Macaca mulatta: one gene and its partner. The protein of the gene in region 1 purifies or fractionates together with the protein of each later gene. This does not show direct contact. Links are inferred from orthologs where the notes say so. Each region holds a gene or a part of one and is shown on either strand. Other genes may lie near its edges.

What was found.
Region 2: the proteins of RAB1B (region 1) and GDI1 purify together in Homo sapiens (affinity purification with mass spectrometry; 3 studies listed by BioGRID and IntAct, counting the BioPlex papers as one, with this or other methods). This does not show direct contact. The link is inferred for Macaca mulatta from reciprocal best matches to the Homo sapiens genes RAB1B and GDI1.

The regions. Positions count from the first base shown.
Region 1 is NC_133419.1:8,145,345-8,149,777, forward strand, and holds the start of RAB1B (ras-related protein Rab-1B), read right to left. Parts: upstream 2,977-4,433; 5' UTR 2,883-2,976; coding exon 2,869-2,882; exon of another isoform or gene 2,020-2,868; intron 1,029-2,019; exon of another isoform or gene 1-1,028. UniProt on the Homo sapiens protein: The small GTPases Rab are key regulators of intracellular membrane trafficking, from the formation of transport vesicles to their fusion with membranes.
Region 2 is NC_133426.1:160,623,146-160,625,640, forward strand, and holds part of GDI1 (rab GDP dissociation inhibitor alpha), read left to right. Parts: intron 1-294; coding exon 295-493; intron 494-760; coding exon 761-892; intron 893-1,773; coding exon 1,774-1,873; intron 1,874-2,297; coding exon 2,298-2,469; intron 2,470-2,495. UniProt on the Homo sapiens protein: Regulates the GDP/GTP exchange reaction of most Rab proteins by inhibiting the dissociation of GDP from them, and the subsequent binding of GTP to them. Promotes the dissociation of GDP-bound Rab proteins from the membrane and inhibits their activation.

The DNA of each region.
Region 1 (4,433 bases):
GGTGATCCACCTGCCTCAGCCTCCCAAAGTGCTGGGATTACACGTGTGAGCCACCACATCCAGCCCCTGGCTACTCTTTTTATGTTTTGTAGAGACGGGGTCTCACTATGTTGCCCAGGCTGGTCTCAAACTCCTGAGTTCAATCGATTCACCTGCCTTGGCCTCTAAAAGTGCTGGGATTACAGGGGTGAGCCTGGTCATCCTTTGGTTTAGAATACTATGGTGCTCACCAGATCTTCCCACCAGTCCCGGTCAGGGAGGGCTGATGCCCCCCTCCAGAAAAAGCTAGCCCAAAGGGCTCTCAGCTTGCTGAGTCTAAATTCTCACTTTATGGAGAAAGAAATCAAGACACAGAGAGGGACGTGACCTGCCAAGGCGACAGAGCTGGGTATCCTACCCTGATTTCTGAGACTTCATGGTTTGGTACAGTAGGGGCTATTTAGGGAATCCCCAGTACATGACCTGTGGTATGCCTGGCTTGGCAGGGGAGGCCCCAGAAGTAGAACCCAGGGCACAGTCTAGAACTTGTTAAGTGAAAAACCCATGTAAAGAGACTGATGGCCGGGTGCTGTGGGGTGTGCCTGTGGTCCCAGCTACTGGGGAGGGTGAAGCAGGAGGAGGATCCCTGGAGCCCAGGAGTACATGACCAGCCTGGGTGATGTAGCACGACCCTGTCTCTCTCTTTTTTTTTTTTTGAGACGGAGTCTTGCTCTGTCACCCAGGCTGGAGTGCAGTGGCCGGATCTCAGCTCACTGCAAGCTCCGCCTCCCGGGTTTACGCCATTCTCCTGCCTCAGCCTCCCGAGTAGCTGGGACTACAGGCGCCCGCCACCGCGCCCGGCTAGTTTTTTGTATTTTTAGTAGAGACGGGGTTTCACCGTGTTAGCCAGGATGGTCTCGATCTCCTGACCTCGAGATCCGCCCGCCTCGGCCTCCCAAAGTGCTGGGATTACAGGCTTGAGCCACCGCGCCCGGCCATCTCTCTTTTTTTTGAAATGGAGTCTCACTCTGTCACCAGGCTGGAGTGCAGTGGCACGATCTCGGCTCACTGCAACCTCCAACTCCCGGGTTCAAGTGATTCTCCCGCCTCAGCCTCCAGAGTAGCTGGGATTACAGGCACGTGCCATGACACTTGGCTAATTTTTGTATTTTTAGTAGAGATGGGGTTTCATCATGTTGGCCAGGATGGTCTCGATCTTCTGACCTCGTGATCCACCCGCCTCAGCCTCCCAAATTGCTGGGATTACAGGCGTAAGCCACCGCGCCCAGTCCACCCCATCTCTTTGGAAACAACAACAAAAAACCTGTTATGAAGTCACCAGGAAGAGGTGGTCAAGTTGCAATGAAAATTGCACTTAAGGCTGGGTGCAGTGGCTGACACCTGTAATCCCAACATTTTGGGAGCCCGAGCACAAGGATCATTTGAGCCCAAGAATTTGAGACCAGGCTGGGAAACAGATGGAGACCCTGTCTTTACAAAAAATTTAAAAATGTGCCAGATGTGGTGGTGTACCTCTGTATTCTCAGCTACTCAGGAGGACAAGGCAGGAGGAATGCTTGAGCCCAAGAGTTGGAGACTGCAGTGAGCCATGATCGTGCCACTGTACTCCAGCCTGGGTGACAGAGAGAGACCCTGTCTCAAAAAAAAAAAAAAAAAAAAAAAGGTAAAAGGTAATCACATTTAATAATATTAAGTTCCAACTTGTGACTGTGTGAAGTCACACAGTTGAGTTCCCTGTGTGAAGTACTTCAAATGCATCATCTCATTTAATCTTCACAACAGTCCAATGAAGTCAGTTTTATCATTGTCAACTAATGAGGAAACCAGAGGCCAGAGAAGGGAAGTGACTTGCCCTAACTTACACAGTTTTTCGCTTTAAGACTCAAACCAGGTTTGTCAGACTCCAAAGTCCCTGCGAGAGCCTGCTGGTTCCCTTCTCTGTTCCCCTCCCAATCCAGCTCAGAGCTTCACCCTTCCCCAAGGAAATCTGAGACCTGGATGTGGAGGAGAAAAAGGAAGTGGCAGAAGAGGAAGAAGATAACTGATACTTGGGGAAAACTATTAGTCCTGGGCATGAGATGTGGGCCACCTACCCGCAGAGGGAGTGACCAAGAGTGAGGAGAGTTTGAGGACCAGAGAATCCCGCTGGAAGGGGGAGAGCAAATTCCATATTCATCTAAACTTCACAAGCAGTGTGACAGCCAAGGGAAGGGGTGCGACGGTGGCGTTGGGGGCCTGAGCAAAAGCGAGGAGAGGGCGGGAAAGGACGGACCGTCGGGAGCGACAGGTCAGCGTAACCCAGGCAAAGGGTAGGAGGCAGCCCCGGAAGAGAGGACCTGCGGGAGACGGGACTCAAGCGGCGCTTCGGGGCCTCCCGCTTAGTTGGCCAGTTTCTGGGCCGGCCCCAGGAGCCGGGCTTCAGGAGAAAGAGAAGGGTAGAGGGATTCACTGCCCGACCTAAAGGGCCCGAGCCTGAACCCGAGACCAGAAACTATCTAAAGACGGGCTCCCAAACTCCAGGACAGTTGTCAAGCAGCAGGTGGGGAAACTGAGGCCTGAAGTGACCGGGACTGCGGGGTCATCTGACCGATAAGGCCTGGTAGGGCCGGTGTCTCGGGCTCCAAGAGCTGCCCCTCGGGGTCGCCACGTCTGGGCCCCGGGTGTGAGAGCTCGGGGTGTTGAGCCGGGGTCCTGGGGCCCCTGGGGGGAGGGGCAGAACCCGGATGTGAGGGGGGGGGGTCAGCGGAAGAGGGACCCGGATGTGGGGGCGCCGCACAGTCCTGACCCGGGCCAGACAACCCCGGTAAGCGTACAGCCCCGTATTCGGGATCGAGGCTGCGCTGGACGGCGCGGGCGGGGCTCACTCACTATTCGGGGTTCATGGCGGCGGCGGCGGCCCGCTCGGTCGCTCCCAGTCGGCTCTGCTCCGCCTCCCGTTCCAAGATGGTGGCCGCTCCGCCCCAGAGGCCCCGCCCGCGACGCGCAGGCGCAAACGTCCTCTTCTCAGGCCTCGCCGCGCTGGTTCTCGGAACTTGTAGTCTGAGACGTTCTCCAACTCAGCCCCGCTGCGCAGGCGTAGTCGGGGAGCCCGTGCCTCCGCGCCCACTCCCATCACTACTGGCGCATTGCCTTCTGGGGCTTGTAGTTTGCACGCCGGACGCACCTAGGCTTGAGCACGATGCTGGAAAGCCTGACGGCGTCTCGGTGTTTAAAAAGCTCAGTTTAGAGCTGGGCTTGGCACGTTTCACATCTGTCTGACGGAGACAGTCATCCTTACCCTCCCAATACCCACGTTGTGAACATTAAATGAGAATGTGGGATCTAGCAAGACTAGTAAAAGCTCACTTGTCCAGGGTTCCTCGTGTACTGGGCACTCCTAACTCGCAGCCGCGTGTCATCACCCGCATTTCATAGATGAAAAAACTGAGTATCGGGAAACTCACTCAAAGTCAAAAACTTTGTGAAGAGCAGAGCTCGTAAGAGCCCGCGGTCTCCAGAACCCCACAAGTGAACGTTTTAGGGAAAGCCTGACTTGTGGGGCCCCCACCCAGTTCCGGGGTGGGCCAGAATATCTGGGCCCAGCTGCGCGGACAGCGGTTGAGCGAGACACACTGTCCCCCACTCACGCGCGACCCTTCCCGGCTCCACCCGTTTAGAGACGCGGGGGCACCCCGACCTCCGCCTCAAAACAAGCCCGGCTCAGATTCAAACCGTCTTTATTTCTACAGCAACATCTGAAAATAGAGAGCAGCCGCCTCACCCGCAACAGGGGGAGCCCCTCCTGCCACCAAGGGACCGTCGCCGCCCCTCGCGAGAAGCTGCAGGCGTGGGGAGAGGCGTGGCAGGATGGCTCGGTGGGCGGTGCCCGGGGCGGGGTCGGGCCGTGCCTGGGCGGGGCCGGGCGGGAGGGGCAGTGCATAAGGCCGGGATGCGGGGCAGGGCCCGGCGGTGGGAGGACTGACTAAGGGGAGGTCCCCGTCCTGGGGCACGGGGCGATGGCGGGGTAGGACGCATCCCTCAGAGGCCAGGAGGAGCGCGAGAAGGTCCCGGGAGCCACTTAGGAGGCGCCACTCCCGAGAATGTGGAGCCTGGGAGATACCACCGCACGGAATGGGGGTGATTAAGGCCTGGGCGGTACCACTAGAGGAGGGACGAGGGGAGGCCCGGGTAGTACCGTGGACTGAAGGGTGGGGCGCGGCCAATAACTTATTTCTCTATATACAGAAGCAACGGCCGGGTTGAGTTGGGAGGGAGGGCGAAGGTGCCGAAGGGCCGGCGAGTGCTTAGTGTTCTTGGCTCTGGGGTCTGGGGAGGCCAGGCCACTGAGTCTATGGTGGAGACTCCAGCCGGCACCTCCTGCTGGCCCCGAACCTAAGGAAGAGGGCCCTGCTGGAAGGAATAAATAAGGGATCGAGCTGGAGTGGGCAGGCCCA
Region 2 (2,495 bases), on another chromosome or scaffold:
GCGATAGAGTAAGACTCCATCTCAAAAAACAACAACAACAAAGAAAACTTGAGCCTTTGGCAGGGGCTCCACTGGATCCTCAAGACATCCCCAAGTGTCCAAGCCAGGAAAGCCCTTAGAGTCCATCCAGGCCAATCCCCTCTTCATCCTGGTGGGGAAACTGAGGCTAAAAAGGGTGGAGAGGTTAACCTAAGGTCACAGGACAGCTGGGCTGGGAGTGGGGGTGCCTGCCCTGCTGAGATGGAGAGTTTTGTGCTGCGTTGGTGCAGAACCTCCTCCCGCCACCTTCCTTAGATCTGATGGGTATGTTTGAGAAACGGCGCTTCCGCAAGTTCCTGGTGTTTGTGGCAAACTTCGATGAGAATGACCCCAAGACCTTTGAGGGTGTTGACCCCCAGACTACCAGCATGCGTGATGTCTACCGGAAGTTTGATCTGGGCCAGGATGTCATCGATTTCACTGGCCACGCCCTGGCACTCTACCGCACTGATGAGTGAGGGGAAGCTGGTGTGGCGGCAGCCCCCTCGCCCGGCCCACCTCCTGCCCTCCCCACACCTGCCTGTTGTCCCCCTGCCCTGCATGTTCCTTGTACTCAGCCATAGGCTCACCTATCACCCTTTCCATTTCCCCCTTGCATTTGATCCTCATCTTCCCCAGGCCATTCAGGGTGGTGGGAAGACTGGCCTGGTACCTGGTACCTGGGTGGGGGTAAGTCAGGGGTGCTGCTACTGGAGCGTCTTCCCTAACCCCTGTCCCCCAGCTACCTGGACCAGCCCTGTCTTGAGACCATCAACCGCATCAAGTTGTACAGTGAGTCCCTGGCCCGGTATGGCAAGAGCCCATATTTATACCCGCTCTACGGCCTGGGCGAGCTGCCCCAGGGTTTTGCAAGGTGAGGACGTGGGTTTTTTCAGTTGGCATGGCTGAGTAGGACTAGGGCCAGGAGTGGAGATGGCCCCCTTGAGCATTTCCCTGGTAGCATTTCCTCCTTTCCAATTCGTGATTTTCATTTACTTCACTCCATCCTTGGGTGATGAGGGCACAACCCCAGTGCACTGAAGTACAGAAGTCTCCACACTTGCCGGGCGCGGTGGCTCACGCCTGTAATCCCAGCACTTTGGGAGGCCGAGGCGGGCGGATCACAAGGTCAGGAGATCGAGACCACGGTGAAACCCCGTCTCTACTAAAAATACAAAAAATTAGCCGGGCGCGGTTGTGGGTGCCTGTAGTCCCAGCTACTCGGGAGGCTGAGGCAGGAGAATGGCGTGAACCCGGGAGGCGGAGCTTGCAGTGAGCCGAGATCGCGCCACTGCACTCCAGCCTGGGCGACAGAGCGAGACTCCGTCTCAAAAAAAAAAAAAAAAAAAGAAGTCTCCACACTTGAAGAACCAAGTTTCCACAAATGTGACTTGCTCAGTTCCCGGCAGCACCAGGACTGGGCCCAGGGCCCCAGAACCTTGAGTCAGGGCTTCGCTGGGAGGTGACCTATCTTGAGAGAGTCCATCCTGGTCCTTCAGGCTGTCTTGGTGCAGAGCACTGCTCCCTCATGCCCCCTTCTGCTGGTCCTTGGCAGTGTATTCTGGGCAGAAGAAGCTCCTGAGAGGAAAGAGCCCGCTGAGATGGGGCCAGAGTTCACGGCAGTGACACAGCTGGGATGAATCCCGGCGTCTCCTGCCTGCTGCCTTTTTTGCACCTTGGTGGAGGAAGGGTGACAGTGGAATTGGTCCCCGTTTCTCCTGGGAGGGGCCTTCACCAGGGCTGTTCTCACCACAGATTGAGTGCCATCTATGGGGGGACGTATATGCTGAACAAACCTGTGGATGACATCATCATGGAGAATGGCAAGGTGGTGGGCGTGAAATCTGAGGGAGAGGTGAGCCTTTCTGGTGCAGTGCAGTCACCATGGTTGAGGCAGGGCTTGGTCATCTTCTTTTCACTGTGCTGCCGGGTCTCCTGCTGCACAGCCCCGAGGGTCTTGGAGCTGGGAACTGGGCGTTCAGAAGTCTTCAGAGCCATGAATGTGGGTGAGGGGCTATTTCAGAGGCCACACGCCATGTCTGTAGTGCAGAAAGTGTACTTGATCACGGGGCATCTGGGAGGCGGGGGCGGGCACCCAGCCTATGGGTCAGGGCCCACCTCTGTGAGCTGCAGGGCAGGGCCATGCATTCAGGAGGGGCAGTAGTGATGGCTCCGAGGAGTGCCTTGTCTGCCAGAGCTGCCTGCCTTTGCTGTGAACACAGCCCCAAGACTACCTAAGGGAGTGATCTGACGGGCGAGGATTTCTGGTGCCTTCTCAGGTGGCCCGCTGCAAGCAGCTGATCTGTGACCCCAGCTACATCCCGGACCGTGTGCGGAAGGCTGGCCAGGTTATCCGCATTATCTGTATCCTTAGCCACCCCATCAAGAACACCAACGATGCCAACTCCTGCCAAATAATCATCCCCCAGAACCAGGTCAACAGGAAGTCAGGTAGGCCGGGTGCTGGTACAACTTCC